2 linked regions of the Stegostoma tigrinum genome follow. The protein of the gene in region 1 purifies or fractionates together with the protein of each later gene. This does not show direct contact. Links are inferred from orthologs where the notes say so. Each region holds a gene or a part of one and is shown on either strand. Other genes may lie near its edges.

Region 1 (16,966 bases):
TTGGGGGTTAGGTGACATTACGATAATTGACAGTCCAGTATTGCTTTCAATCACTCCATGCTCAGTGCAATGAAGTCAGAGTAGTGCATCCAATCAGTTCAGTATATGTAAAAGTAACAGGTCAGTAAGCACCGAAATCAGAATGTACAATGATATAGCAATGTAAATAAATGTTTTTAATAAACGGCAAGACATCTGCCTCAACAGGAATCCAGTCTTAGTGAGCACACAGTGTGGAGCTGAAGAAGTGTCCTGACCTGAAACGTCAGCTTTCCTGCTCTTCTAATGCTGCCTGGCCTGCTGCATTCCTCCAGCTCCACGCTGTGTTATCTCTGACTCCAGCATTGGCAGTTCTTACTATCCCAGTCATTGTGATATTTGTTTGAGTTAATAAACCGAGAAACACTCAGATCATATCTTACTGGCAGTGATGCTTAACCCATCAAAGTGTGACATGGTGACAGCAAGTGGGCATTAGAACTGGTGGCAGCTAACAGCAACAGTAGTGCAGCTAGCTGATGACAACAGCATTGACAGTTGTGAAGACTTCTTTCCCCAAATAGTCATGACTGATCATTCACCAGTCTACAACAGCCACCAAACTAAAGGCTGTACTGAAGCACATCAACCACAATGGAGAAACAGTTCTGAGTACATTGACTCACTTTAGAAAAAAAACAGGAGGCCAAGGTTTGTCGAATATAAATAATGGCAGTTTGCAGGAGGCTCAGGACATTCCCAAATTGGCAATGCACCCCAAAACAACATGCAGCCTAAAGCATTGAAAAAAAAATTACGTATATTGTTGAGGACTTACCTACATGTGGTTGCCAGTCAACAGCACCATTTTATTTCCCACAAAAGACAAAGCAAAATGCCACATACAAGCACTGCTCAAATATTTCTTTCAAAAGAAAGAAATAGAAAGCAGGTAACCTTAAAGCACCAACAAGAGAACAAAACAGCCGGAAGCCAACTAAACAAAGCAGGGAAAGAAAGATAGATAGTAAATACGTGGGGATAAACTGACACACCACTGACATTTTGTCAGAATTTCAGTTCAAGAAGGAATAAATCTTTATTTTCCTGATCAACAAATCACTATTAAAGAAAGACAACTTAAAAGATTGAGTCAATTTCAAGATGTACAATCCTTCCAGACAAACCAAAAGAATATGCCATGGGCACAGAGCTAGAAGAAGAACGCATATTCAAAGCAATTGCTGTAAGTCAGCAACATGCTTGACTTTATAGCACCTACTGTAGCTATCAAACTCAGTACTCCTTTAGGAGATGTGACTTGTCTTGCCCTCCAAAACATTGTCAGACATTTTGTGACATATAAAAGATATGTTCTACAAGAAGAGGTTGGACTGAACTGTGCAACACAAAGCTCCACAGCAGCGTATGAAGAGTCAAAGAAGGAACAGTATCATCAACATTCCTTACAAGGGACACCTGAATCTTTTTTTGCCAGATTCACAACAGGACTATGATTAGTCTACAAGAATGCATAGATTGATGTATTATTACAATCCATGAGCTAATAAACATGTCTATTACAATACAAAAGATGCTAAACCACAACATTGAGTCCCTCCATCACGATCACCTGACTAACCTTTCCCCGGACAGTTTAACATTATTAGCAACAAAGATAATGCCTAACACATCATCTATCGTCCCTTTAAATGCAGCAGTCACAGTCAATTAAAGTTCAAACTGGAAGTGGACTCCATTATACAAAATGACATTATCCAGAGGTTGAGCATCATACTGGCTGACATAACCTTAATTTCTTGTGCTCTGAACAATGAGCATTGTAGAGATATGTTCAGATCCAAATCAAATAAATATCAGCGCCAATTACATTTCCAAATCAACACAAAGGGACATTAGCTCAGACACAGGGACAGCACAGTGGCTCAGTGGTTAACACCGCTGCCTCACAGCACCAGGGGCCTGGGTTCGATTCCACTCTCAGGCAACTGTCTATGGAGTTTGCACATTCTCCCCACCTCTGCATGGGTTTTCTCTAGGTGCTCAGGTTGCCTCCCACAGTCCAAAGATGTACAGGCTAGATGGATTGAACACACTGAATTGCCCATTGTGCCCAAAGATGTGCAGGCCAGGTGAATTAGCCATCGAAAATCCTGGGTTACAAGGATAGCAGAGGGGGGGTGGGATGCTGTTCAAGAGGGTCAGTATGGACTTGATGAACTGAATGGTCTGGTTCCACACTGTAGGGAATCTATGATTTTTTAAAATCTTTCACCAAAGTCACAGGGACTGAAAACTTTTAAAGAACATCTCTCACTAGACATCATTTCCTCAGATTACCCTCAACCAGGTTATGTGAATAATATCACCAAGAACCCACCAAGTTTTCACTTTATCACAGAACACTCTGCAATCCTCAGAAAAACTAAACATGCAAATGATATAAATGTCCTTCAGCTCATGACACTGGCAAGAAATTAGTACTTTTTCTAAAAGTACATAAAATATAAAATATGCATAAACAAAGTTGATTTCTTCAGTTCAATCTACTTATCAAATGGCATTAGAATGTTGCCGCCAAAATTGAAGATATACAGAACATCTTCACACCACAAGACAAAGATGATTTACAATGGGATCTCAGTTTCTTCAATTTTGATTCACCGTTATTCCAAATTTTGCAACCATATCTCCTCTTCGAGACCTTCTCGGCAAAAACTTACCACACGTGACAGGAAGACCACTAGTCCATTTTTCAATCTCTCAAAAGTGTTCTTCAGTATTATGTTCCTTCAATATTTACCACATCAGAAGTAGATATATCCAATAAAGGTACCAGAGCATATCTATCACGGGATTGGAACCAAATGTAGTAGGTTTTCAATGTTTTAACATCAGCTCAGGCAAATTACTTCAGCAGTGAAAGAGAAACTCTTGTTCTAGTTTTTTGGAATATGACAGTTTCACAGACAACTACTGAATAAGTATTTTGTTGTTCACGCCAACCACAAACTGTTAGAAATTACCTGTCAAAATGAAGTACAGCTTCAGTGATTACTTGTCACAGACCAATTTTGAACTACAACACAAACCAGACTTCCAAATGACTAGCTTGGTACTCTTAGCTGACCTTCCAAGTCCGTCTAAGAACACAGATATTCCTTTTGACATACAAGTGAATACTATCGAATCTATGCTAGAACATTCCCTCAACAGCAATTCCAATCATTTTGGTCATAACCAAGCAAAACAGATTCGGCAAGCTATAATCAGATGATGATCGAGCTGCAACTTCATCAGCACCAGGTGGGCCTGAACCCATCCAACAAGTTCTTAGGGGAAAAGGTTCATTCTGGTGATAGAGATAAATTAGGACCCTCCATGAATATAATTTTTAACAATAATAAGCAGCAATTCAAATAATGTCAAGACACGCAAAACTATACAAAACATCACATGAGCACACAAAAACAACTAAGTGAATGATGCATAAATTCATTTAGTGGGCCACCATTAATAAAGACTGATCAACTAATCAAGTTGAGTGAAATATACCAACATTATTAACCCCAACTATAGAGAGAACCTATCATCCCATGTAAAATTCCCTATATGCCATGGTGTAAGCCTGCCTGTCAAATATTTTAGATGTCCAAAGACACTTTTACATTCTGTTAAATGAATATTTGACCGAATTTTATATGACAAAAGATGATACCAGCGCAATGATTTTTACACATTGACTGTGATATTCAGCATGCTCAGTGTTCATAAACAAATTGTGTCTGACAGCAATCCGCATTTCACCAGTGCATCCTTACAAGTGCTGGAAATGACTTGTCCATCATCTACCTCTTCTCTTCACTACCCTCAGCCAAACAGTCTTGCAGAATGCACTGCACACAGAAAAATCTATGATTGTCCACGGCATTTTGGCACTTTGCCAAAATTTTCAGATGACCATACCAAGAATATATTTTACCCAAGGAAACAATTTACCCAAGGAAGCAAGTTACCCACACTGATAGCTCTAACAGTTGGAAGGCAAATTCACACAATTCCTCTCTCTCAAAATTTCACCCCCCCCAACCAAAACGGAACAAGAACATGATCAATGAAAATGCAGACAGTTATCCCAATATGAACGAGCACACAGCAAAAGATAAGACTTTCATATGGACGCATGGGTTCTCAGAACATCACCAAGGTCACATGGCATTTTAACAAGAAATAGTCCAATCCTACCAAGAGACAAGCAACATATTCAAACTGCATACAACAAACCACGTATCAAACAGGATAACAATTTGGATGGTGAAAATATCATGCCAGCCAACAATCATGCTTTACAATAGATAATGTGATGGGAGATAACATAAGCCAGGTTATAATAACTGCATGAGAACTAAATCTAGTCATGTCATCCATCCAACAAGGCTAACCTGAATGTGTAGTGACAATGTATCTATGCCCATTCCTATACAGGTTTGGAAAAGCAGTCCCATTCTTTAAAGGGAAAAGGGAGATGCTGTATTAAAGCATAAATTCCAGACCAGGCGAGCATTTAAGACAGTTACATGACATTACAAGTCTGGACTGGAAGTTGTACTGGGTCACTCCATGTTCAATGCAACTGGAATCAGAGCTGTGCATTCAGTTAGTTACTCGTGCACAGGAGTCAGTAAGCAGAAACACTCCAGATTATATATAGACTTCTGGCTCAGAAGTAGGGGCACTACTACTGCATCAGAAGATCTGTCTTTATGACACACATTACTTACGAAAATATACTGAGAAGCACTCAGACCTTAATAATAGCAGTGGTATCTGACCCAAGATAGTATGCTAGAAAGCATACATAGCAATTATTCAGACATTTAGTTCATTCAGAGCAGAACAAATGATTGAATAACTATATTATTGATTATACAATAAATTATACTTCATTATCTTTCAGGACCAAGATATCTTATTCATAACTTATGAAAAGTCAATCCTTATGGATATAAAGTTTAATCCGGGGAATGCAGCCTGGTTTAGACATTCTGCAACAGCACTGGAAAAGGATTCAAAGGCAGAATACAGGGGTAACCAGAAGACTTGTAACTTTGAATTGCTGGAGAAACTCAGCAGGTCAGGCAACATCTGTGGAGAGAAGATAATAAAGTGTGAAGCTGGATGAACACAGCAGGTCAGGCAGCATCTCAGGAGCACAAAAGCTGATGTTTCGGGCCTAGATCCTTTATCAGAGAAGGGGATGGGGTGAGGGTTCTGGAATAAATAGGGGGAGAGGGGGAGGCGGACCGAAGATGGAGAGTAAAGAAGATGGGGGAGAGGAGAGTACAGGTGGGGAGGTAGGGAGGGGATAGGTCCGTCCAAGGAAGACAGACAGGTCAAGGAGGTGGGATGAGATTAGTAGCTAGGAAATGGAGGTGCGGCTTGGGGTGGGAGGAAGGGATGGGTGAGAGGAAGAACAGGTTAGGGAGGCAGAGACAGGCTGGGCTGGTTTTGGGATGCAGTGTGGGGGGGGGAGAGGTGGGCTGGTTTTGTGGTGCAGTGGGGGGAGGGGACGAACTGGGCTGGTTTTGGGATGTGGTGGGGGAAGGGGAGATTTTGAAGTTGGTGAAGTCCACATTGATACCATTGGGCTGCAGGGTTCCCAAGCAGAATATGAGTTGCTGTTCCTGCACCCTTCGGGTGGCATCATTGTGGCACTGCAGGAGGCCCATGATGGACATGTCATCTAAAGAATGGGAGGGGGAGTTGAAATGGTTCGCGACTGGGAGGTCCAGTTGTTTATTGCGAACCGAGCGGAGGTGTTCTGCAAAGCGGTCTCCAAGCCTCCGCTTGGTTTCCTCAATGTAGAGGAAGCCACACCGGGTACAATGAATACAGTATACCACATTGGCAGATGTGCAGGTGAACCTCTGCTTAATATGGAAAGTTATCTTGGGGCCTGGAATAGTGGTGAGGAAGGAGGCGTGGGGGCAAGTGTAGCACTTCCTGCGGTTGCAGGGGAAGGTGCTGGGTGTGGTGGGCTTGGAGGGCAGTGTGGAGCGAACAAGGGAGTCATGGAGAGAGTGGTCTCTCCGGAAAGCAGACAAGGGTGGGGATGGAAAAATGTCTTGGGTGGTGGGGTCGGATTGTAGATGGCGGAAGTGTCGGAGGATGATGCGTTGTATCCGGAGGTTGGTCCGCCTCCCTCTCTCTCCCTATTTATTCCAGAACCCTCTCCCCATCCCCCTCTCTGATGAAGGGTCTAGGCCCGAAACGTCAGCTTTTGTGCTCCTGAGATGCTGCTTGGCCTGCTGTGTTCATCCAGCTCCACACTTTGTTATCTTGGATTCTCCAGCATCTGCAGTTCCCATTATCACTTGTGGAGAGAAGGCAGAGTTAAGAGTTACGAGTCCAGGTATCAGAAGGCTTGCTTGAATGAGGACAGCAGCATATTTACAACAAATCGGGGAGAAAGCACAGCAAACCGAAACAAAAACAAATCTGCAACAAGTCCGACAGCATCACTGCACAAGAAAGCAGGGTTAACGTTACGGGGCCAGCGATCCTTCTGCAGAACCTGCTGGGCAAGTTGAGGACCTGTGTTGGAGACGGACTGCCACAGTGCTCCTGAGATGCTGCTGGGCCTGCTGTGTTCATCCAGCCTCACATTTTACTGCCACAGTCCCTGGCCGGATTAAAGGTGGAGCAGGGGAACCTAATCGCGTTCCAACAGCACGCCGTGTGTGGAAGAGATGCCACAACATGACAGCGTACAGAGCTATCTCTGCTCCTCCACGTTGTTGTTGTTGTTGTTGGGATCGGGGATTCGGACAGAGGAAGGGGGGGGGGGGTTAACAAAGTGGACACGAGATACCCCTCCAGCACGCTCCCCCCACCCGGCCTCTTGGACTTACCCCGCTCGGCAGGTTCTTCACAATGAGCCGGGACATCTCGCAGCCCGCTTTCCCTCCCCGGGTCCTAGCGCTGTCACCCCTCCCGCCCTCTCCCGTCCTTGGCCACGGGCTCCCTGTAACGGTCACACTCGCCGCGAGTCCGGGATTCTGGGCCCAACACGCGATTGCCTGCTCCCAGAATCCCTTGCGGGGGCACGACGGCAAGCAGCGGCGGACTAAATTCTCCGGGCGCAATCTTCACTTCAAAACGGGCAAAGAGCTGACTCGCTCCTACAGGAGCAGTGATTCCAAAGCGTGTGAGCGGGGTGTTTTCTGGATGGGTTTCCAGCAGAATACTGCCCTGGAACCAAATGAGGGAACGTTACATTGAAGCAAAATGGTGCCAGAAATCTGAAATAAAAACACAAAGTACTGGAGAAGCTCAGCAGTTCTGGCAGCATCAGCGCAGAGTCCAAGATAATGTCTTCATTAGATCTCTTCACAAATGCTGCCAGACCGGCTAAATGTTGTCTTAAGCTCAGTAATAAGCCAGATTTAGTTAACAACCTAAAACAAAGTTAAATTTAGTTAACAGTCTCACTGAGTGTGAATGCTTATCTAGTTGCCATAACGTGATCAAGTTGGTGTGGTGATTGACAGGGAAGGCAAATCAAGAGGTTATTTATTGATTCGTGTAAATTTGACTTAATGAAGATTAAACCAAAACTGTAAATTAAACCATGCGTGTAAGTCGATGAATAATTCCAAAATCCATACAATATGATTTTTTTAAAATGAAAAGAACACCGTTTATACACCTAAGGAACAATGACTCTATACTTGCCTAAAACAAAAGCCATGGATGATTTATGGGGTAAAAGGCCACATAAAGTTATTTCCACACGGACAATGCAATGACTAGCACAAATCCTGGAAACATTTTGTTTCAAATCTATTCCTTCAAATAGACATTAGTAGGTTGGCTACCAAATTCCATCAGATGTTTGATTTACAAAGCACTAGAGTTGACACCAAGCTAGTTATTGTGCAAAACAATATTGAGTTGAAAGACAGATCAAAGGACAGCGATTTTTGGGGCCTGGTAAACAGAGTAAAATACCAGTTCCTAATATCCTATGCTTGTAATGTTGAAGCTTACTTTGGCTCCATGTACATCTGTGAGACAATGTTCCTCCAATCAAATATAATCAAGTCCTTAAGCCATAGGAACAGAAATTAGGCAATTTGGCCCATTGAGCTGCACTACCATTCAATCATGGCTGATGCATTTCTCAACCCCATCCTCCTGCTTTCTCCCAAAACCCTTGATCCCCTTGACAATCAAGAACCTATCTGTATCTGTCTTAAATGTACTCAATGACTTGCCTCCACAGCCTTCTGTGGCAATGAATTCTATAGAATCACCATGCTCTGGAGAAGACGTTTCTCTTTATTTTCGTTGCAAACTGTCTTCCCTTTACTCTAAGTCTGTAGCCTCAGGCCCCAGTCTCTCCTGCCAATGGAAGCATCCTCCCAACATGTACTATGACTCGGCCGTTTAGTATTCTGTAAGTTTCAATTAGATTCCCCCTTCATCCTTCTAAACTCCATCGAGTATAGGCCCAGAGCCTTCAAATGTTCCTCATAACTGTCTTTCCTGCTAGGCTCCTCTCCCAGTCAGTTCTGGTCAGCTCTTCCATCATTCTTCTGTAGTTGTCTTTATTCAATGTAATACCATTACATCTAATTCCATTTTCTCCCCCTCAAATTGCAGAGTAAATTGTATCATATTATGGTCACTGCCTCCTAAGGGTTCCTTTACCTTAAGCTCCCTTATCAAGTCTGCCTCATTGCACAACACTAAATCCAGAATTGTCTGTTCCTTAGTGGGGTCCACCACAAGTTGCTCCAAAAAGCCCTATTATAGACATTCCACAAATTCCTTTTCTTACAATCCACTGCAAACCTGATTTTCTCAGCCTCCTGCATAATGAAATCCCCCATGATCACTGTAACCTTGCCTTTCTTGCATGTTTTTTCTATGTCCTGCTCTATTTTGTGCCCCAAAAGTCCATGAATCATGCCTGCCTCACAGTTACTATTTCATGGACTGTATATGACTAGCAGTCTCAAACTATAAACCAGACTTCAAGGCACTGGTAGATAATATGCAGTCAAGGGTGTAATGCCAAGATTTGTGGAGTAAAGGACAAAATGAATAATAATGTATGTTTGATTTTAAATTTATACTGTACTAAGAATGGAAGATGAGAGACTGCTGCCTTAGGTTTTAAACAGTGAAGTTCGTGTCTTGCTAATGAGATCCTTATGAAACCTTTTTCCATGCATTTACGTGTCATTACTAGCACAACCTGCTTTATTTCTACACAGCTTCCAAATATGCCCCCCCCCCCCCCCCCCCCCCGGCTCTATCAAGCTACATGGCACCAATACTCAAGTCAGATCAGTAACCTAGAGACAAGTAGCTCACTTCCTGTTTCTCTGGGCCTTATCCAGCTCTGTCTGTGCCACAGTATCCCTGGATGTTCGAAGGATATCTCCCTCTTCCAACCTTCATCCAAGCAAGTTGGCAACAACAAACTAACATCCTCACCATTGCATTGTACCTACTTTCATACCTACTCAGAATCCCAATTAGGATTTCAGTTTGGGGCTATGGATCACTTCTGCCAGGCCTCTCAGTGTGCAGGAACACACGCTTATGCATCTACACAGGATGCTTCCAATCGCTCTAAGCTTCAGCTCTTAGTGGTCACGCACGTTGTGTTTGTTTGGAGGCCATCAACCTTGGGAACTTGCATTTCTTTTAGGGAGAGGCAGGAGTTTTTCATGGCTCAGATCAATGAACAGCCAAGGGGTTAGATATAAATGACATCATTATGCTACATTAATTTCACACTACAACATTGTCAGAAACTTATTCCGCAAATACACTACCTGCTCTTCAAACAGCCATATGTGAAGGTCACAAAGGAGCTGGCCTTAGTGAGGTTAAGGGTGACTATGGTCAGTAAGGGTTTACTGCCATAGTCGGTGAACGGGATCATCTGATTGCAGTTCAGAGGGTTAGCAATGGTCAGACCTATAGTTCAGGAACAACCAATCAGGAATTACACGTCAATCAATCCAGCACAGTGGAGTCGTCAGTCCAGGTTATGGGCCAATGTTTCCTGCTTTAAGTATTGGATAAGGCTGAAGATAACAGGAACTGACAAGAATTGATAAGAGGCTGAACCATGGTCTATTATGTGAATTTTTTTTCTCTATTCATTTGTGGGATGTGGCTGCCGCTGACTGACCAGCATTTCTTGCCCATCCCTAGGTGCCTGTTGGAAGGTGGTGGTGAGCTGCCTTCTTGAATCGCTGCAGACCTCCTGCTGCAGGTTGACCCACAATGCTATTAGGGAGGGAATTCCAGGATTTTGAGCCAGCGACAGTGAAGGAGTGGCGATATATTTCCAAATCAGGATGGTGAGTGACTTGGAGGGGAGCTTAGAGGTGGCAGTGTTCCCATATGGCTGATGCTTTCGTCCTTCTAGATGAAAGTGGGCTTGGCCATGTGAATGGAATCATACTGAGTCAGTCAGGCCTGCGAAGAGTTAAAACTGCAGGAAGTCAGGAACTGCTGTCTCTACCAGATAAGACATGCATTTGGACAAAACATTCAGAATTGGTCTTGTGCACACATAATTCTGATTAAGGCACACACTTGGCACAGAGATTCGTATATAAAAAGCCTGAGGAAATCCTTTTGTTCAACAACACTTCAAAGGTTAATGTTGTGCAAGAAGTACCCTACTTCGAGCAGAGTTTCAGCCCGGCATGCTACGAACTCTCCTGGATAAGAATGATTGGGTTTCGTTACAGAAATCAGGGTAGTGAAAGACAGTGATTGAGATATCTCTAGTAGTTAAAAGTGTGTGTTATTCATTTAGATACCTAATAAATGAATTGTAGTTTTGTAGAGTTCTAGGTGTCTCCGCTGTATCTTCTTCTCTGTATGTATTATTATCTCACAGAGACGGGCAACATAATTTTGGCGTACCTCTGGGAATTGACAAGAAGTAACTTTAAGTTACGCTGACACCCTGCCTGAGCCTGAAATTAAGAGGACGGTTGTCTCACGTTAGGTCTAAAACTAAGTGGGTGCTGGGAAGGAGGAGGTCGAAATTTAGTAGTGAGAAATACAAAAGGATCAGCAGACACACTAAGAAACTTAGCGCTAACAGAGAATGATGGGTCCAGGGAACTCTGACTGGAGAAGACTTCTTCAACAATATGGGGCTGGGGAGTGGCAAGTACTGTGAGTATACCATTAAGACTGGTATGGAAATTGGAACCTGTGGGGATACTGTCTGGAGTATGGCAAAAGATGACAGAGAGAAAAGGAACTTTGAGAAAGAGCAGAAAGCTGCAGCAGTAGTTTGTATGTTGGAAGATTGGGAAGAAAAGCAATAGCAACCAAAGGTAGCCGAACTTAAAGAAGAGATGAAGAGACTGACTGTGAAGGTTGGGAATTTACAAAGCCAGAGAGGTGGAGACCTCATGCATATAAACCAGTATCAAATGCAGTGTGAGAAATTAATGAGGCAAAAGGAGAAAAATGAAGAGGAAACTAAAATGGCTCACATGCAGACAGAAGAGTTAAAGAGACAATGTAGCTGGGAATGTAGTGCATAAGTCAGGACAGGAGCAAAAAGGGACCTCGGGCAATCACACAAAGTATATAAAGCAGATGGAGAGGTTATACAGTCAGATTTCTGAGCAAAGAGGGATAATATTTGCATTTGCAACCCCACTCTTTGAGGAGGAAGATGGTGGCATCAACTTGGGAAGGCTAGCAGAGTAAGTGGCCAGATATGGAGAGGAGGACCCAGGGGAATGGGGTCCCCTCTGGAAAGAGGGCCAGAAGTAAGGTCTGTTGCCCCTAAGGCCCACCCCGATCTCTAAAGGACAACAGCCAGCAGTGCCAGGTGTGCAACCGCAACAGCCGACATTACATATACCAGCCCCTAATAATGTTCAACAGCTCGGAGCTATGGCCATGTGTATACGCAATTGTCAGCCTGGGGATGACCCCCGAGAGCAGTTCCAAGTTACCCACAATCCAACTGAGGCCACAAGTGGGTTGTGCTCCAACACACAATGACAGTAGGCCTCTCCTATATGGATGTGCGATGCAAAAGGGGGTGGACAGGGAGACCCTTAGTCAACGGTATGGTAGGAGGGTCGGCCTATCACTTTCCTTTGGGACACGGGGGATCACCCTGAACACAGCTATTGAAAATCATCATGATTGGAAAATACAAACAGAGGTAATCTTGAGTGATCTTACAGGACATTCTCAAGTAGGACAAGTGACAAACCCTTTAAATATACAAATAGGAACTGCAGAGATAATGCATCTAATATTATTAATGAAACTCCCAGCAAATCAAGAGCATATCCCATGAAGTGATTATATGGCTAGAGCATCACTGTGCTTTGATTCAGTGAACTGAATGATGTGGCAAATGCCAGGAGTAAGTGAGGAGCAGTTTTTTTTTGCTGAAATTCCTGCAGGAAGGTGTGTACAGTGGGAGAAATGTGAATCTGTCCTGCTGACATGAGTGAGGACCTGATAGTACAAGGAATTTTTGGGCAAAACCAGGAAGTGTTTGCCAAATGTAAGGATGACTGTGGACAGATACAAGGGGAACTGTGTATGCAGGGCTCAGATCCAAAGCCCCGAAAGCAGTATGGATTCCCCAAGCAGGCTGAAACTGATATACAAAAAGGTAGTGCAAAGTCTGGTAGCACAAGGGGCATTAAGGTAAGTCACCTGTACAAATAATTCACCTATTTGGCTAGTAAAGTAACTGGAATGAGTTGATGGCTGACTATTGATTGTCGAGGACTAAATAAGGTAAAGCCCTTAATAGGTTCCTTGTGGCTATTAGCCCCAAAACCATGATTAAACAGAATGAATCTGCACAGTGGTTTACGGTGCTGGATATAAGTAATGGATTTTGATTAATCCCTTTTTCCAAGGAGCATTAGTATAAATTTGCATTTACCTCAAAGGGAAAGCGATATATGTGGACTGTTTTGCCATGGGATTTCACAACTCTCCATTAATACTTCATCAAGGCTTAAGCAATGAGTTGTGGGTTTTTCTAGGCAAGACTGCCTGAAATAGTATGTTGATGGTTTGCTTTTGCCAACGGGAACCAAACAGGAGCATTACCAGCTCCTGAGTAAGCTATTGCAATTATTAAAGGAGTTTGGGTTAAAAGTGAATCCAAACAAGGCTCAGATAATGAGGCAGGAAGTGAGTTACTTAGGAGTGGTGTTAACACCAGGAAAAAGAGAGATAGACAAACAAACAATTGAAATGGCAGCTAGACCTCCTATCCCTACAGATGTGAAGGGATGAAGATCATGTTGGGCTTGATTGGGTATTGTAGAGACCATATTGATGGTTTTGCTAAAGGCAGCACCACTAATGGTGTTACTGAAGAAAAATACCCCAAGGAAATTGAAGCCAGGTCACCTGCAAGCAATAATAGTTTTGAAATAGGGTTTGGTGAGTGCTGCTGCCCTAAAAACCCCAAATACAGCTGAACCATTCTCCATGAAGGTGGTTGCAACAGACTCCATAACATCAGAGATCTTATTACTAGAGGTGCATGATCAGTTGAGATCGGTAGCCTCTGCCTAGCACAAGATCACGGCAGTAGAACAGGGATACACGGCATCTGTTGGCAGTATTCTGGGTGGTATGACATTTTACTTACATTGTAGTGTTGAATCCGTTGACAATTTTGAAGTTCCGTCCAGGAAAAGATGAGGATAAGTAATAGCTCAGAAATATTAGGATCAAGAAAAGGCAGGTAGGACAGGATTCATTCATTTGTCATTTGTTTTGATATTATGTGTATCTTTCAATATGTGAAAGGTGTATAACAATGTATTTGTGATGAAACAAGACTGATTTGTAACTTTTTAAAATGTTTATGACTATAGTTTTGTTAAGTACAATGATCTAAGTGGCATTTCAGATAACACAACTGAAGTAATGCTTTATTGAGAACACAATGCTGTGAGGATGTAATGCTTACCACTGTCTGGAGTTGCCCTGGAGGATGTAGAAAACCCAACAGAGATGATCCTCATATTAATCTTTCGATCGAAAGTGTGGAGATGTTGGATAAGACTGGAGATAACTGGAGCCGATAAGAGGCTTAACAATAGTCTGTTATGTGAATGGAATTACGAGTCAGTCATGTCTGCTAACAGTTAAAACTGCAGGAAATCAGGAACTGCTGTCTTTACCAGATAAGACATACATTTGGACAAAACGTTCAGGATTGATCACATGAACATATAATTCCAAATAAGGCACACACTTGGCATGGAGACTTGTGTGTAAAGCGCCTGAAGAAATGCCTTTGTTCAAACATTTTGAAGATTAATGTTGTGCAAGAAGTACCTTATGTCAGGAGGTGTGGTGAAGATATTGAGAAGAGTTTCAGCCTGGCCAGCTGCGAACTCTCCCGGGTAGTAATGTTTGGGTTTAGTCACAGAAATCGGAGTAGTGAAAGACAGTGATTGAGGATATCTCTAGTAGCTAAAAGTGTGTGTTATTCATTTAGGTACTTAATAAATTAATTGTGGTTTTATAGAGATCTGCTGTATCTTTGCCCATGTATGTAATGTCTCTCAGAGACAGGCAACATGAGACAAAGAGAGAGACCTAGTATGATGACTGTGGATGGAGGAGCCATTAGACGTAGAACGTAGGGCAAGGTGTTCCCATGACAGAGGGCCGGAAGGGTTAGTATTTTGGGAGGATGAGTGGGTCAAAGCCATTGAATGGACATTACATGTACAGTAGTGAGAATTGTAGCCCATATGTTTAGTGAGATGACTGTGCAGTAGAAGAGTTAGAGTCAGTGGTGGCCTGTGAGCAAGAGAGAGCAGAGAGAAGATGGTTGTATTTACCTTTGCAAAGCGCAGATTAATTTACCTGGCACCATGCACTGGCCCAGGCTGCTATCTCAGCCTAGGCTGGCTAGGACTGTTGGTGTGGCCTTCTTTGCCAATTTTCAGGAAAAAAAATGCAAGACTTCCTTCCACCGTACAATGTAGCAGCTATCAGTGAACCGAGGCACTAACTTGCATTTCTGGATCGTGTCCATGGTTATAATGTTGGAGCATTCGAGTGTTAAGACCACCTCATGGCTTGCAGCATGAGAAGTGATGTGGAACTGAAATTTAAATATGACAGTAACAGTGTGTGCTTTGAAAGTCCTAACAGCAGTAAGAACATCTACCTCTCCTGCCACTAGATTCCCCAAATCGGTGAAAACAAGTTGTATAATTACCGGGAAGAAGGGCAGATGATTGTGTGAGAAAAGTTAACACGGGCCATGGGGAACTGAGCACATGAGTCTCACTCAATGAAAAACTTTGTCAAAAAATGGGAAAATTCTGCCCACAGTAATTGAATATCTTGAAAATGTTCTGCTCATCATGAGAGGGCCAATGTGGGTCATACCAAAAGAGCCTGTTTGATTTCATTGAAGAGCTGACTGAGCTATTGAATAGCGTGTGTCTATGACTATTATTTATGTTGGTTTCCAGAAAACATTTGGGAAAGTTCTACATGAGACTTATCTAAAGTTGAAGCTCATAGTCTTGAAGGAACATTATTGGAAATCGGATAAGTAACAAGATTTTAAGGGCAGGAATAATGGGCAGGTGTTCCAGTCATATTTAAAGTGTGAATTTTCTGCGGCACTTTGCTTAGACATGGGCAGATAATTGACTCTATGTGAAAGTTTCACCTCTTTCTAGCTGGCTCTCAGTGTCCATGTCTTCTGCTCTGCATAAGGGCAGTTGATTAAGAGAAGGCAGTTGATGTGTTTCGGTGTTGGTGTTGATGTGGTTGTGTTATTCCTCTAGTTTTTAATCAGTAGTCCAAAGTAGAGCTGCATCAGCTGTTCCCGTGCCAATGTGGAACTTGATAGTGAGGAAGAGCAGCTCCATGTAATTAAAGTGCTGGACAGTGAAAATCTTTCCAAGAAGGGGGACATCGCCCATAAAGCTGTAGGAACACACTCTTCGGGAGTGCTCTATGCAGCCAAATCTCAGTTGGTCATGGTCTGAGTTCTTCTGTTTCACTAACTAAAGTCTTACCAATCTGTCAGTTTCACTGAAGATGTTCACTTTGCTATGAACTTGCCCGGTGACCTCAGAAAGTCGTATATCATTTAGCTAAGGAAGTATGTGCACTGGCTATCAAAACCAGAATGCTGGGTTTAACAAGGAATTGTTCACCTACTTGTATGTTACAAATATTCAAAATCTCCAAGGTGCGACTCAACTTGCCTGCAAAGTTGACAGGTAAAACCCATAAGCTACAAGTGGAGAGGATGGTCTCTTCTCCTCTAAAGAGCTTATATATCTGAACCTGCACTATCACCACTGCACCCATCCTCCGCCTCCCCACCCCCTTTGATCATTATGATCTTCCCTGGTATCCACTATTTTATTTTTAAGACCAAAGGCTTCTCGAAAAAGATGCACAATTTTAAATCTACCACTAGGTGGTAGTAGATACTAATATATCAAGATCATTTTATTAAAAGGAGCAGGTAAAAACACACAAAATGTTTTAAAGCTATGTTGTACAGTGTATCATTTTTAAAATAAACTTGGTATGAACAAAATGTCTGTATATCTTAAACAAAGTGCTAACAATCATTCTGTTTAACAATCCTGAATGTAACACTAGAGATTTTTTTGTTTTTTTATGATTTTTCCTTCAAGTGCTTTATTAGAATTTTTACATTCTGATTATCGAAATTTAAAATAAATACAGAACTTCATCAACATAATGCATTTTAAGGTCTTAATCTCTGCTGGCTGGGTGCTGTCCAAATTCTTCTTGAATGACCTGTCAAGTATGTTGCCTTATCCTAACTCTTAATGGGTGAACATAAACAGGTCAAAATGAATGTGCATGTTAACAAGAATTTAAAAAGAATACATTGCCACTGGTAGTATCCAGC
Region 2 (16,909 bases), on another chromosome or scaffold:
TGATGGAGGAAGTTCAAAGATTTCATTTAAGAAAGTAAATAAGAAAAAGCGATTTCCTCTGACTGGGGAGTTAACATCAAAGAGTCACTCATTTTAAACTGTCACTGGGGATAGAAGAGAGGAGTGGAGTGAAGAGAAACTTTTACGCAAGGAGGTTGGGGTGTTGAATAGTGTATCAAAATGGAGTAGTCCAAATGGATAGCCCTTCTATTTTTAAATCAGGACAGCATAAATATTTGAAGTGAATGCTGACAGCAATAGAAGAACAGCAGAGGGAAAGTACTGAATTGTCAGAGACAAGTTCAAGTATGAACACAACAGGCCAAACAGCCATCTTTCCATGCTGTAAACTTTGTAGTTCTGTGAGTGAGAATAATAACATATACATCTATTTTTCCAAATATCCCAGAAAGCTCAACACACATCCGAATCAAACCTGGAATATTCCAGGTCTCCTCAGCACAACTTCATACCTTAACACCATACATGGAAATTGAAAGTTCAAAAAATTCATTGAAAAATGTAAAAAGACTAATCAATAGAATTAATACGATTGTGTAATTAGTGAAAATCAAATAGCATACAGATAAGAAATCAAAGCTTAGTTTTAAGCAAAGAGCACGTCAACATTGCATTTGACAAAGTGGTCATTAATTCCACTTCATCGATATCAACTCTCCATAATAACATCTCCTTCAACCCATCTTCATTAACCTTCTTCATACACTGATTAACTACCCAAATCTTTGTCCAAAGTTATAACAACTTATATTTTCCTGACAGATTTACCAAGTCTAAACAGAGAAAAATAAATTTCGAACATAGAACAGTACAGCACAGAACAGGCCCTTCAGCCCACAATGTTGTGCCGACCATTGATCCTCATGTATGCACCCTCAAATTTCTGGGACCATATACATGTCCAGCAGTCTCTTAAATGACCCCAATGACCTTGCTTCCACAACTGCTGCTGGCAACGCATTCCATGCTCTCACAACTCTCGGCGTAAAGAACCTGCCTCTGACATCCCCTCTATACTTTCCACCAACCAGCTTAAAACTATGAACCCTCGTGCTAGCCATTTCTGCCCTGGGAAATAGTCTCTGGCTATCAACTCTATCTATGCCTCTCATTATCTTGTATACCTCAATTAGGTCCCCTCTCCTCCTCCTTTTCTCCAATGAAAAGAGACCGAGCTCAGTCAACCTCTCTTCATAAGATAAGCCCTCCAGTCCAGGCAGCATCCTGGTAAACCTCCTCTGAACCCTCTCCAAAGCATCCACATCTTTCCTATAATAGGGCGCCCAGAACTGGACGCAGTATTCCAAGTGCGGTCTAACCAAAGTTTTATAGAGCTGCAACAAGATCTCACGACTCTTAAACTCAATCCCCCTGTTAATGAAAGCCAAAACACCATATGCTTTCTTAACAACCCTGTCCACTTGGGTGGCCATTTTAAGGGATCTATGTATCTGCACACCAAGATCCCTCTGTTCCTCCACGCTGCCAAGAATCCTATCCTTAATCCTGTACTCAGCTTTCAAATTCGACCTTCCAAAATGCATCACCTCGCATTTATCCAGGTTGAACTCCATCTGCCACCTCTCAGCCCATCTCTGCATCCTGTCAATGTCCCGCTGCAGCCTACAACAGCCCTCAACACTGTCAACGACACCTCCGACCTTTGTGTCGTCTGCAAACTTGCTGACCCATCCTTCAATCCCCTCATCCAAGTCATTAATAAAAATTACAAATAGTAGAGGCCAAAGGACAGAGCCCTGTGGAACCCCACTCACCACTGACTTCCAGGCAGAATATTTTCCTTCTACTACCACTCGCTGTCTTCTGTTGGCCAGCCAATTCTGTATCCAAGCAGCTAAGTTCCCCTGTATCCCATTCCTCCTGACCTTCTGAATGAGCCTACCATGGGGAACCTTATCAAATGCCTTACTGAAGTCCATATACACCACATCCACAGCTCGACCCTCATCAACGTTTCTAGTCACATCCTCAAAAAACTCGATAAGGTTTGTAAGGCATGACCTACCCCTCACAAAGCCGTGTTGACTGTATTTGATCAAGCCATGCTCTTCCAGATGGTCATAAGTCTTATCCCTCAGAATCCTTTCTAACACCTTGCAGACGACAGACGTGAGACTTACCGGTCTATAATTGCCGGGGATTTCCCTATTTCCTTTCTTGAAGACAGGAATTACATTTGCCTCTCTCCAGTCCTCAGGTACGACTCCAGTGGACAGCGAGGATGCAATGATCTTCGCAAGTGGCGAAGCAATTGCATTTCTCGCTTCCCAAAGCAGCCGAGGACAAATCTGGTCCGGGCCTGGCGACTTGTCAATCTTAATGTTTGACAAAATTTTCAGCACATCAGCTTCCTCTATCTCTATCCATTCCAGCATGCACACCTGCTCTTCAAAGGTTTCATTCACTACAAAGTTGGTTTCTTTCGTAAAGACAGAAGCAAAAAACTCATTTTGGGCTTCCCCTACCTCCTCAGGCTCCACACACAAGTTCCCTATGCTATCCCTGATCGGCCCTACTCTTTCTTTGACCATTCTCTTATTCCTCACGTAAGTGTAAAATGCCTTTGTGTTTTCCCGGATTCCTTCTGCCAAGCCTTTCTCGTGCCCCCTCCTGGCTCTCCTCAGACCATTTTTGAGCTCCTTCCTTGCCTGCATGTAATCCTCTCTAGCTGAACTTGACCCTAGCTTCCTCCACCTTATGTAAGCTACCTTCTTCCTTTTCACTAGAAGCTCCACCGCTCTCGTCATCCAAGGTTCCTTTATCTTACCCCTTCTTGCCTGTCTCAGAGGGACATATTTACTCATCACTCCCAACAACTGTTCCTTAAACAGTCTCCACATGTCTATAGTTCCCTTACCATGGAACAACTGCTCCCAGTCCATGCTTCCTAACTCATGTCTAATCGCATCATAGTTTCCTCTTCCCCAATTAAATATCCTCCCATTTTGCCTAATCCTCTCCTTCTCCATAGCTATGTAGAATGTGAGGCAGTTATGGTCACTATCACCAAAATGCTCTCCCACCACAAGATCTGATACCTGCCCCGGCTCGTTTCCGAGCACCAAGTCTAGAATGGCCTCTCCCCTCGTCGGCCTGTCAACGTACTGCGTTAGGAAACCCTCCTGAACACACCTTACAAAAACAGCTCCATTCAAATCTTCTGCTCGAAGGAGGTTCCAATCAATATTAGGAAAGTTAAAGTCACCCATTACAACAACCCTACTGCGTGCACACTTTTTCAAAATCTGTCGACCTATGCTTTCTTCAATCTCCCTGCTGCTATTGGGGGGGCCTGTAGTAAACCCCTAACGAGGTGACTACTCCCTTGCTGTTCCTAATTTCCACCCATACTGACTCAGTAGGCAGATCTTCCTCGACAATGGAAGCTTCTGAAATCATGAGTTGAACTTCCCCACAAAGAATTGTATGATTTTTTCATGACCACTGGATATCTCAAAGTGCTTTATAGCGCATGAAATGCTCTAAGTGTGATCACTGTTAAAACCAATGTTTAATTCTTGTATTCTAGACTGTAATACCAGGGTTGGTTTAACTCAGTTGGTTGAATGGTTGATTTGCGATTCAGAATAACACCAGAGAGAGTTCAATTCCTGCATCGGATAAAGTGTGGGCTCACCTTCTCAATTTTATGCACCCCCCCACCGTGAGGTGTAGTAACCCACTGGTTAAACATCTTTCTAATGAAAGAGCAGCCCCTAATGTCTGCTAAGACTACGGCGACTTTACCTTTTAGACTAGAGCATACCAAGTCTGAACAGATAAATTAAGCCCAGCAACATGACATGAACAGATTCTTTGACGCCAATCTTTGAAGATGCTAGTTCACTCGTGGCAAGTAACGTGGAATCTACCAATCAAGCGTGCTGCATGTAAAGCCTGACACTCAGGCCCAGTCCTCATCATTTTCCCACAAGACACCAAGATAATTCACCAATCCCTCAATGTTTCAGTCTTGCCTCCAACTGCATCACCAAGTATCAAAATCTTCATCTGCCCTCTGGATATGCAAATCAATTTTAGGAACAAGCATTCGCAGTTTGACATTTGGTTTACAAACTCCCATTCCATGATAAATCAACTAGCTCTGCATCTGCAGAGAAACACATAGGGCATGTTCCCAGGAATTTCCAACCAAAGCCAGCTTCCCTTTCCCAGCAGCACAGACAGGGAGACATGCACTGTTCATATCCACAAAGCCATGTGACAAACAACACATTCAACATGTGCCAGAGAGCTGGTCTACAATCAGATCCACAAGTACAATAAGTTTTTTTTATTAACAGCATCAATAGTGCCAGTTGATCAAATATTCTACATGATCAACAGGTATGTCTAACCACAGTAAACCTTGACCAAGTGAAGTTTCTGGAATAGCAACATCCTCAAAAACCTATACCAAACGCCTTCTAAAACTAAACATAAAACATAGTAAGTGACAAATGCAACGCAGGGGGTACACATAATTTTTATCCTTTATTTATAGCATTAATACTCAAACATCACAATACAGTGCAATTGGAGGTATATATATTTTTGCCAGTTTATCACGAGTGCTAGTTATGACAAAGTTTGCAGTGTTGCAAAAGAACCCTGAAGAACGTCTGCACGTACCACTGCGGACTTCACACTGCTGCAACTCCTAGCAGAGAGAACAACCAATAATTTTCCCCCCAAAATCCAAAGACATACAGGTTAAGAGGATTGGTCATACTAAAAATTGCCCTGTAGTGTCCAGCGATGTGCAGGTTAGGTGGGTTAGCCATGATAAAAATGTGGCATTATGGAGAGGGGAGAAGCTCGGTGTGATGCTCAGGGAAGTTCAACTCATGATCTCTGTCAAAAGGAGAAGTTAGATTTTTTTTCTCTGTTTACATAGGTGCAATTACATCAGATACTTCTTAGACCTGATGTAATTCAAATGTATTCGCTGTGATCATGTAGAACTACAATCAATTGCATGCAAAATCCCACAAACAGCAATAAAGCCTGGACACCTGAAGAACTTCCCTCATTCATAAAAAGCCTGGGGACCTTGTGCATCCATATTAAAGGACTGATGGGACCAAGGTTTAATATTGCACTCAAGACGACACCTTCAACAGTTATGCACTGCAGTATCAAAATAGGCTACATGTTCAAACCTCTAGAGAAATTTCCATACATTGCCTTCTGACTTAAGTCGGAAAGACTGTGTGGATTTACAAACTGTTTGTGAAGCAACTGTAGAGAGGAAAGCACAAGGACAGGTACAGCTGGTTGTTTTCAGCATGTATATGTAAATTATTGCTGGGTTTTCAAATGTTGTTGTTGTGAGACAACATGTAATAAGAAAAGATGTCAAAGAGGCACTCAGCACTGACACTTCTCACAATAACAATCCAGTCATGCGTCTTTTATAAGCTTATATGGTTTCAACCAGCAATTTGGTCATGTTTCAATTGTTCCTTTTATTATATGTCTCCTTCTGTAGTGGTGCATCTCAAGCACCATGAGCTGCATTGTTCTTTATTAAATTGCTGACACTTGTCAATCACAACCAGCAATTAAACTACTCAACAGCTTGATGCTCTCAGTTTAATTTACTGATGCCCGCACAAGAGGGTATAGTTCCACAGATATCTACCTCAAGATACTTGGTTGTTAAATTCAATCCCATCCCACCTAGGTATCCACAGCTACTGTCAGAAACCACAGCGGGGAGAAACCCCTTTAAATTCCTCCCCACTTCTTGCAGAGGGACAAGAGAGTTAATTACATTGTTCAATGCATCAGTCTAACTCCAACAAGCAACTACACTGCAATCCAATCTGTATAGCTAAGCATCAAACCCTACTTATTCACAGAAAGACACAGGTCAGGCAAGTCCCTTTCCAAGGAAACACTGCCAGTGTGTCTGCATATGAACAACTTCTCACTTTTCTTCACAAGCCCACCCAAAACCACCTTGAAAAAGAGAGCTCAGATCCTTGCTACACTGGACGAAGTCAGCAGTGGCTGACACTTTAAACAAAAGTACCAATTCCAGCATTATACAAGGGGCAAAATAAGAGGCATTTTTTGAAGTTGAGTCGTCACTTCTAAAATACAATGCCAGTCAGTGAAGTGTCTTGCTGACCCATTGCATGTCTTCAAGGAGGACCGGATCACTCCCTAACTGGCCCAAAAATCACATCATGGGTGGCAAATGTAACATGCTGCCCCACAGATGTCCACGACTGGCTTCAATTACTCAAGGAATTGAGTCTTTTCCCTCTTGAGGGAAGTGTTAGGTTTTGATTATCCAGCCATACTGAGATATGAGGCAGGTTCGATAGAAATATTGCTGTTTCTCTGACCATTCCTGAGGAATAATCCCAAAGACAATGCACCTTATAAAAATTGATGAATTTGGTTCAATACAAGACATTAGCACTGAAAATGGAAGACACACTCAAAAGTAAACAGTTTGCTCCCTTCACACCCTAGCAAGTTATCCCAAAACTGCTCTATTGCAAAATTTACCAAAACTGACTCTCTCAGCCAGTTTGCTAACCCATATAAATGTGAAGTTGTGGTTACACAAAACTTCCAACGAAACTGAACGCACAGAACATCCTAACCACCGCCCAATAGTGAAACTGAAGCGCACAGCAATTCCTGTACTACCCACGCAATTCTGTCATGGTGCTCACCTCCATCCTGCAAGTCAACCCTCTACCAAACTACCTCGCTCTCCTTCTATACTCCAAGCCCAACTGTCCCTTCCTACACTCCTTGCATCCGCCCATTCTTGTTGCCCAGAACCATTAATTTATTTCAAACCCTAGTGCCTCCCCTCAGCTTCCAGATCATCCTGCTCCCTACGCTGGGGTTGACTCATTCACAAACACTTCTTTTTACCTTCCATCTCCTGCCTGCATGTTTCTCTAAGCCTCCTGTCCATCCCATTTTCTAAACCCGACCCCCTTGACGTGCTCCTGCCCATCTTCAATCCGATTTTTTCTCCTGGCCGCCACCAAACTCTGTTCTACCTCCCTCCGGTACATTCATCCTCCTCGCCCGCAGATTCTGGGACGTTTTCCCCCCTCCTGCAGTTCGTGCTGGGAGCCGCAGGGAGAGGCGATGATCTGATGGAAACGCATTCGGCTCTCCGGCAGGACGTGCGGCCTGTGCCGGAGCCCTTGGCAGGACCACAGCCCCCCTCCTCCACCCAGCCCCGAGATCTCAAGCCCGCTCCCCGAGATTCACTCACCATCAGCTCAATACTTTTATCTTCGATCACTGAATCCGCCTCCATCGTGAACCACATACAAGGAGAATGCAGAGCTCTGGCTTCACCCCCCCGCCCCCCCCGCACTCGGCCCGGTCCAAACCCAAAGCCTGACGACAAGCGTCTGACGAAATCACGCCGCGCCCCTTGGTTTGTAACGTCATCCGTATCTGACGTCACGCGTTCCACGCGACCCCCTTCAATCGTCAGGAAACGCCACTGCAGGCCCCGCCCACTGACTCGGAACAAATTACTACAGAGGCTGGAGCTTGTGTTGAGAATGACAAAGTTCTGCAGGTCACAGCGGGTCAGGCAGCAGCTATGGAGGGAGATGCAGGCTGAAGCTTCCAGTCTAGACGATTCGTCATTAAAGCTGAAGTGAAGGGTGGCAGCATTTGTGCAACAGTGGGGAGAGGGCTGTGGGTGTGGAAAAGATGTTGATAGCCCAGATTAAGTGATTGGAATTCACGAATGGCTGAACAATGGTGTGTCTAACCGCCAGACTTGAAAGGCAAAACTGTCCCACAGGGGTGGCCAGAGGCGAGAGAGGTCATGTTGACAAAGAATGTAACAAGTAAAGCTAAACAAAACGGAAGAAATTGGAGTTGGTTCACAATTTGAAGGTGTTGGACTCAATACCAAGCCCAGAAGGCTGTAAATTGCCTAGTTTGAAGATGAGATGTTGTTCCTCTGGTTTGCATTGATTCACTGGAGCACTACAGCATGCTGAGGACAGAAAAGTATGCATGCAAACAGGACATGGGAAGGTGGTGATCATGTTTGCTTACAGACTGGAAATATTCTGCGAAGTGGTCACGCAGAATGCATTTGGTTTCTCCAATGTAAAGTGGGTGTTAATACACAATGCAATACACAAGATTGTAGCAGGTACTGTTGAAACGCTGCTTCACCTGGAAAAACTGTTTAGGATCTTGGATGGTGAGCAGGTAGTATGCGAAGGGGCAAGTGTGGCACCTTGTGCAGTTACACGGGAAGGTGCCTTTTGAAGGGTGTGTGGTGTTGGTGGTAGGAATGGACTAAGGTCTTCGCCAGTCTCTCCACTGCAGACTGGGACTGATTTGTCGAACACCTCCAGTCTGTACACAGTGCCTGCATGCTCGCTTGTCTACCCTCAGGACACTACAGTGTTCCGATGAATCGCAGCACAAACTGGAGGAACGACATCTCATCCTCAGACGAGGCACATTACAGGCTTCCGGACTTAATATTGAGTTCAAAGCCTTAAAATTGTGAGCCAGTTTCCGTTTTTTCCCTTGTAGCTTTACTTTTTACAATCGCCCATTTTTTCCATTTTGTTTATCTTGTCACATTCTGTCACCATGTTCTCTCTCCTCTTCCCCCACCCAAGTGGGACTGGCTTCTCTTTCAACTCGGGCAGTGAGACACACTATTGTTCTGCCTTTCTCACATTTCGATCATTCTCGACTAGCACTCTACACCCACCATCCCCACACCCTCCACCCTTCGCTACAGCTCTGATGAAGAGTCATCTGGACTGGAAACATTAGCTTGGATGCCGCCTGGACCAGTTGTGATCCCGAGTCTTTGGTTGTTTCCGCCCACTGACTGATCACTTCTCCATCAGGACCCGCCCCCTCACTGTTGACGTCCATTGCAGTACCACGCCCCCATATGTGGCCGCGCCCACAAATGCCCCGCCTTACATAATGGGCGGGGTTTCAGTAACACCGTCCACGGAAGGATGATTTCCCCATTAGCTCAACCCTCTCCCTTGCCGTGTCCAACAAAAGGTCACGAACTTTCATTACGTCACGCCCCCACTGTCGAAACCGAAACCTTCAGTCAACCTCCGCCCATACAATCAACCACGCCTATTCCGAGGGGCGGGGCAGCGGGGGGGGGCGGGAAGGTGAGGACTTTCGATGGGATACGAGATTGGGAATGAGAAAGATGAGGCTGGGATGGTGAGGGAATGGGACAGGGTGTAACCGGAGCTCAGAAAGGGACCGGTTGGGGAGGGAGGGTGAGGAGTGGGAATGTGGGAGAGACGGGGTTGGGTTGGCAAGGAGTTAGGGAGGTGTGCGGAGTGACGGGGTTGGGTTGACAAGGGGTAAGGGAGGTGTGCGGAGTGGAAAGGATGGGTAGGGCATAGGAAAGGGAAAAAGGATGGGAAAGGAAAAGGGATGAGAAGGGGAAGAGATGAGGTGCGGGTGTGGAATGGGGATAGGATGGGATAGGGAAGGGGATGGGGAGGGGATTGGCATAGGGGTGGGGATGGTGAGGGGAAGGGAATTGGCATAGGGGTGGGAATGGTGAGGGGAAGGGGTAGCGATGGGGATGGGAGGGGTTGGGGATGGGATGGGGAAGGGATGGGGAGGAACTGGGGATGGGGAAGAGATGGGGATGTGGAAGGGATGGAGAAAAGATGGGGATGGGGAAGGAATGCAAAGGGGATGGAGAAGGGATGGGATGGGGAGGGAATGGGGATGGGAAGGATAGGGATGTGGATGATGATGGGAAGGGGTGGGCGAAGGGGTTGGGGTACGGTGGGGTGGGGAAGGGGTGGAGATGGGATGGGGTGGGGATAGGGAGGGTATGGGATGGGATTGGGGAGGGAATGGGGATGGGCAGGGGATGGGGATGGGGAAGAGATGGGGATCTGGAAGGGATGGAGAGAAGATGGGGATTGGGGAGAGGATGGGGAAGGAATGTGGAGGGGAAGGGGATGCAGAAGGGAAAGGATGGGGAGGGGATAGGGGAGGGATGGGGATGGGAAGGATAGAGATGTGGATGATGATGGAAAGGGGATGGGGAAGGGGTGAGCAAAGGGGTTGGGGTGCAGATGGAGAAGGGGTGGAGATGGGGTGGGGATGGGGAGGGTATTGGGATAGAGGTGGGAGTGGGTGTGGGGAGAGGGGTGAGGAGGGGAAGGGGTTGGGATAGGGAGGGGATTGGGATGGGGAAGGGGATGGGGATGAGGAAGAGATGGGGATCTGGAAGGGATGGAGAGAAGATGAGGTTGTGGAAGGGATGGGGAGAGGATGGGGATTGGGAGGGGATGGAATGGAGATGGGGTAGGGATGCAGATAGGGGAGGGGATGGGGTGGTGATGGGGAGTGGATGGGGAACAGGGTAGGGGTGAGGATGGGGATTGGGAGGGGATGGAATGGAGATGGGGTGGGGATGCAGATAGGGGAGGGGATAGGGTGGTGTTGGGGAGGTGATTGGCCGGGGGGGGTGGAATGGGGATGGTGAAGCGATGGGGATTGGAGGGGCTGGGGGTGGGATGGGGAAGGGGATGGGGAGGGACTGGGGATGAGGAAGAGATGGGGATCTGGAAGGGATGGAGAGAAGATGAGGATGTGGAAGGGATGGGGATTGGGAGGGGATGGAATGGAGATGGGGAAGGGATGGATAGGGGATGGGTGTAGGGGAGGGGATGGGATGAGGATGGCAAGTGGATGGGGATTGGGAGGGGATGGAATGGAGATGGGGTGGGGATGGGGTGGCGAATGGGTTAGGGGAGGGGATGGGGGTAGGGCAAGGGATGGGATGGGGAATGGGATACGGGAAGCGATGGGGAGCAGATGGGAAAGGGATGGGCATGGGGAGGAGGATGGGGAAGGGGATATGGATGAGGGGATGGGATAGAGATGGGGAAGGAGATAGGGATGGGTGAGGGGAGGGGTTGGGAATGGTGAGGAGGGAATGGGAGGGATTGGGGATGGCGGGTATTGAGGATGGGGAGGGGATGGGAATGGGGAAAGGATGGAGTGGGGGAAGGGATGAAGGAGGGGATGGGAAGGGAATGGGGAAGGGATGGATAGGGGATAAGAAAGGGGAATGGATGGGTAGGGGATAGGAAAGGAGGAGGGATCGTGCAAGAGGAGGCAATAGGAAAGGGACCGGGATAGTGAGAGGTCAAGAAGGGGGCCAGGAAAGGGAAAGAGATGGTGAGGGGTCAGGAAGTGGATCAGGAAAGGGAAGGGACGGCGAGGGGTCGGGAAGAGGGCAGGGCTGGTGAGGGATCGAGAAGTTGGCTGGGAAAAGGGAAGCATTGTGGAGAGAGCCAGGAAGGAATGGGGAGGGGTTGGGAAGGAGGCCAGGAATGGGGAAGGGATGGGGTGAATTTGAGGAGTTTGGGAATGGGGGCAGATTTGTGTTGGGATGAGAATGGGGCGGTGATGAGGAGAGGGTGGGAGCGGTTGCGAGTGAAGAAGACATGAGTCAAAGTTGTGGGGGAGCTGGAGAGTTTGGGGACAGTGACAGATTGTGATTGGGAAGAGATGGGGAAAGGTTTAAAAGGGTTTGGGAATTGGGGGTGGAGCTAGGTTGGGGAGAGGTTGCCTTTGAGGCTGGAGCATCCCTAATTGGAAAATGAGATGTTGTCTTTGAGTTTGTGCTAAGGCTTGTTAGTGCTCTGCAGCAGGCCCAAGACAGAAATGTTGCCATGGGAACATGGCAATGTGTAAAAGCAGCAGGCAACAGGAAGTTCAGAATCATTTTTGCAGACCAAGTGTCACAGTTCTACGAAGTAATCACCCAGCCTGTGTCTACATCTCCCCAATTTAGACGAGCCCACATTATCAGCAGTGGATACAGTAGACTAGATTGAGTGAAGTGCAGATAAGCTGCTGCTTCATCTAGGAGGCATGTCAGGGATCTTGGAGGGGAAGGAAAGAGGAGGAGGTAAATGGGCAGGTGTGACACATTTTGCGATTGCATGGGAAGATGTGTGGAAATGTTTGGAGTAGAGGAGGACTTGACCAGAGTATCCCAAAGGGAATGATCCTGCTGAACGCTGACAAGAGAGGGGAGGGTTTTGATTGTGACATCCCAGTGGAGGTGACAGAAGTGGCGGTTCACATCCTTTGAATGTGGAGACTGATGGGATGGTAAGTAAGGACCAAGGAGACCCTGTCATTGTGGAAACCTAATAAGTTTTGCAGCAATTTCTGTTTGTCATGGGAGACAAGGGAATGGGTGAGGGCAGAAATGTAGGCGGTGTATCAAACACGGCTAAGGGCTGTCTGAACTACGGTAGTGGCGAATCCTCGGTTGAGGAGAAGGGTGGATGTATCTGAGGCTCCACCCCCTGCAGAAGGTCTTTTCTCTTTTCCACACAGCCAACCCATTTTCACCTAGTTATGGTCTCCGTTATCAGCTTTTCTTTCTCCCTGACTCACCATTATCCATCTCTTTTTCTGCCTGTCCTCTCCCTCTTAGCTCCATCTCAACCTACTATATACTCCTAACAACCCCTATCCCCAATCTTCAGCAAGGGTTACTGGGCTCAAAATGGTATCACAGCTTTCTCTCCATAGCTGCTGCCAGACCTGCTGAGTTTCCCAGCAACTTCTGTTTTCATTTCAGCTTTGCAGCAGTTCTTTGTTTTATTTTTGTCTTTTAAGCTGGAACAGCATTTAATGCACATCCTTCATTACCCTTGAGAAGGTTTGTTTCCACACTGTAGGGATTCTATGATGATTCTATGAAGTTACTGAAGATTAAAATGCAAGTGCAGAAAGCTGTCAGGAATGCTAGTGGAATGTTAGCCTTTAACATGAAAGGATTTGAGTCCAGTAGAAATGAAGTTTTGCTTCAATTGTGAATAAGATTGGTTAGACTACACCTAGAGTACAGTGTGCAGTTTTGATCTCCTGAGCTCAGGAAAAATATTATTGCCACAGAGGTAGTGCAACAAAATTTCTTCAGACTTGTTCCTGGGATAGTGGGAACATCCAGTGAAGGGAGATTCAGTAAACTGGGCCTGTATTCTCCAAACTTTCGAAGAATGACAGGTGATTTGAAGAATGACAAAATACTTAAAGGGATAGACAGGATAGGTACAGATAAATGTTTCCCTAATGGTGGAACCTAAAACCAGATACACTATAAATAAAGGAGATGCCATTTACGTCCGAGATGAGGAGTAAAGTGTTGTAAAGTAAACTTAAAGGGTTGTAAACCTTTGGAATTCTGTAACAGAGGCCTGTGAAGGTTTAGCCTTTGAGTCTGTTTCAGATAGAGGATTGATAGATTTGATTACCAGTGGTGTACAGGTTTATGAGGATGTGGTGGATTTAAGGCATTGAAGTGTTCAATCAGGTATTATCTTAATGACTGACAGAGCAAGTTTCATAGAACTATAGAAACTATACAGTGTAGAAGGTGGCCATTTAGCCCATTTTGTCCATTCCAACTCAAAGCCGCTCTTTCTAATCTCATCTTCCTGAACACAGCCCATAGCCCTACGGTGTTATGGCCTTTAAGGTGCAGATCCAAGTACTTTCTAAGAGTTTTGGGGCTCAATCCCCACCATCAGTTCAGACAATGAATTCCAGTCATCTATGACTCTCTGTGTAAAAATATTTTTCTTCACATTCTCACTAATCCTTCTGCCACTTAGCTTGAACCTATGGCTCCTGATTTTTGAACTCACTGCCAAAGGAATTTGTCTATTCTATCCCTCACTATTTTGTATACTTCAATCATGTCACCCCTCAGCTGCCTTTGGTCCAAGGAAAACAGTCCAAACTTCTCCTCATACCTACAATTCTCCAGCCATGGTACCATTCTAGTAAGTTTTCTCTACACTTTCTCCACAGCAGTTGTGCCCTTCTTGTAATGTAGTGACCAAAACTGCACATAATACTCCAGCTGTAGCCTCACCAGTGTCTTATACAATTCCATTATTATTATCCTACTTGTAGCTCTATCAATGAATGAGGGCATTCCACATGCCTTCTTTACAACCTGATTTACCTGTACTGTTACATATAGGGACCTGTGCACTGGAAAACCAAGATCACTCACTTCATCTACCCATCTCATGATATTCCTGTTTATTATATATTCCCTTTTATTGTTTGACCTCACTAAATGCATTACCTCACACTTATTAGAGTTGAACTCCATCTGCCATGTTCTTGCCCACTCCACCAACTGATCTGTATCATTTTGGAGCGTACAGCTATCCTCTACACTCTTCATTACACAGCCAATTTGTCATACGTAAATTTCCGAAATGTGCCCCCTATTTTCACATACAAATTGTTAATGCATGTTTGGGGCTGTATGATGGCTTAGTGGTTATCACTGCTGCCTCACAGTGCCAGGGACCCACGCTTAATTCCACCCTCAGGTGACTGTCTATGTGGAGTTTGCACATTTTTCCCGTGTGTGTATGGGTTTCCTCCAGGTGCTCCGGTTTCCTCCCACAGTCCAAAGATGTGCAGGTTCGGTGGATTGGCCATGCTAAATTGCCCATAGTGTTCAGGGATGTGTAGCTTAGGTGTGTTATAGGGAGGTGGGTCTGGCTGAGATGGTCAGTGTGGACTTGTTGGGCCAAAGGGCCTGTTTCTGCACTGTAGGGATTTTATGATCTAAATTTTTTTAAAAAAGCAGGGGTCCCAAATCTGAGCCCTGTGGTAAATCACTTGAAATTGTTCTTAATTCACAAGGGCAGCCATGGACCAATGTGTTTTGTTTCCTGTTACTAAGCCAACTTTGAATCTACTTCAACACACTACCTTATATCCTTTAGGCTTTCACTGTTTTGACCAGTGTACCATGTGGGACTTTGTCCAATGCTTTACTAATATCCAAGTATACAAATCCATTGCACTACCCTCATCAATCCTCCCTGTCACTTCCTCAAAGAATTCAATCAGTCTTGTAAGGCATGACCTTCCCTTAACAAAGCTCTGCCTTTCTATGTCAAGTTCATCAGGTCCCTCAGGATTGATTCTAACAGATTTCTCACCACCCAAGTAAAACTAACTGACCTGTAATTGTTTGGCATTTCCTTTGTACCCTTTTTATAAAACAGAACCAAATTTGTACTCCTCTAGTCCTCCTGCACTTCACCTGTGTCGAGGGAAGATTGGAAAAATAATTCTCAGAACATTTGCTATTTCCTCCCTGACATCTTTCAATATCCAATGGAACAATCCATCCTGTCCTGACGATTTAGCGACTTTCAAGGTTTCCAACTCCTAACATTTCCTCTCGTGTTATGATTATTTTGTTCAATATTTCACACTGCCCCTCTTGGATTACTGTACCCTAATCACCCCTTTTCTTTTTGAATATGGAGACAAAAAAATCATTTAAATTTCTTCCCAAGTTCTCAGCATCTTAACACAAGTGCCCTTCCTCATCTACGACAGTTCCCAATTTTCCCGTAACTATTCTTTTGCTCTTTATGTACTGTTCAAACATTTTCAGGTTTTCTTTTAGCTTAATTGCTGATTTTTTTTTCATGTCCTGTCTTCTGATTTCTCTTTTTTTTAAACTTAATTCCTCACTTTCTCTAGTCTGAGGCTATCTGCAGTGTTGAGTTTTTTTTGTGACTATCACAAGCTTGCTTTCTCTGTTTAATGTTGCTTGTATTTTTCTAGACAACCATGGAGGGTCTAGATTTGGCAGTATCATTCTTATTTTGGGGGTTTTGTTTCCTTTGTACCTCAAGGATCTCACTAATTAGTGCCTCCCACTGGTTTACCACAAATTTATTTTTTAGCAGTCTTGTCCGATCACCTCAGCCAAATCACTTAAATTTATAAACTTGTCTTCTAAGACTTTTACTCCTGATTTATCTGTACTTTTCAATAATAATACTAAATCTAACCAAATTGTGATCACTATCCCTGACATGGTCAACCTCTGTTATTTCGCACCACTTGCCCACCTTCATTCCCCAAAACTAATTCCAGAATTGCATCTTGTCTTTGGACTGGTCACATGTCGTTTAAAGGAAGTTCCTGGTCACATTGCATGAATGTTTTTACCCTTCATGCCCCTTATGTTCTTTGAAACCCAGCTGATACTGGGATAATTAAAGTCCCCTACTATTATTGCCTCTTACATGCAGAAATTTGTTTCCATGCATGTTCTTCTATTTCCCTGATTTTGGGGGGTCCGTAGTATACTCTTGGCAGTGTAAAAGTCTAAAAAGAGGAAACGTCCCTCTTTTTATTTCTGAGCTCAATTCATAAAGCCTCATTCAGTATATCATCCCTTCTCACAACTATGATTAATGCTTCAACTTAGACTGCTACCCCACCCCTTTTTGTCATCCACTGTATCCTACCTTAAAACTGTATATCACTGGATATTGTCTTCCATTGGTCTACCATAAATTTATTATTTAGCTGTTCTGTCCAGTGCACCTCAGCCAATTACTTAAGTTTTATAAAAAATTGTCTTCCCTCATTAAAGACTTTTACTCCTTATTGCTGTCCTTTTCCACAATACACTAAATCCAACCAAATTGTGGTCACTATTTCCGACACAGTCACCCACTGTCACCTCATCCACTTGCCCATCTTCATTGCCTAAAATTTAATCTAGAATTGCATCTCTTATCATTGGGCTTGTCATGCATCTTGTTTTTTTTTAAAATGTCCTGGACAGAGTACATGAATGTTTCACCCTTAGTACCCCTTATATTGTTTGAAATTTGTCTACACACATGTCTTTCTATCTCCCAATAGTGTGACTACCCTTTTTTGCATTTCTGGACTCAACCATAAAGCCATATTTGTTAACTTTTCACAACTATGATTAATTCTTTAACCGATAACCCTACCATTCCCATCCTTTATTTTGTCT

Evidence for each region.
Region 2: the proteins of rbm19 (region 1) and F-box/WD repeat-containing protein 11 purify together in Homo sapiens (affinity purification with mass spectrometry; 3 studies listed by BioGRID and IntAct, with this or other methods). This does not show direct contact. The link is inferred for Stegostoma tigrinum from reciprocal best matches to the Homo sapiens genes RBM19 and FBXW11.

The regions. Positions count from the first base shown.
Region 1 is NC_081379.1:31,372,215-31,389,180, forward strand, and holds the start of rbm19 (probable RNA-binding protein 19), read right to left. Parts: upstream 7,082-16,966; 5' UTR 6,948-7,081; coding exon 6,912-6,947; intron 1-6,911. UniProt on the Homo sapiens protein: Plays a role in embryo pre-implantation development.
Region 2 is NC_081366.1:65,877,660-65,894,568, reverse strand, and holds the start of F-box/WD repeat-containing protein 11, read right to left. Parts: upstream 7,422-16,909; 5' UTR 7,352-7,421; coding exon 7,295-7,351; intron 7,094-7,294; exon of another isoform or gene 7,089-7,093; coding exon of another isoform or gene 7,074-7,088; intron 1-7,073.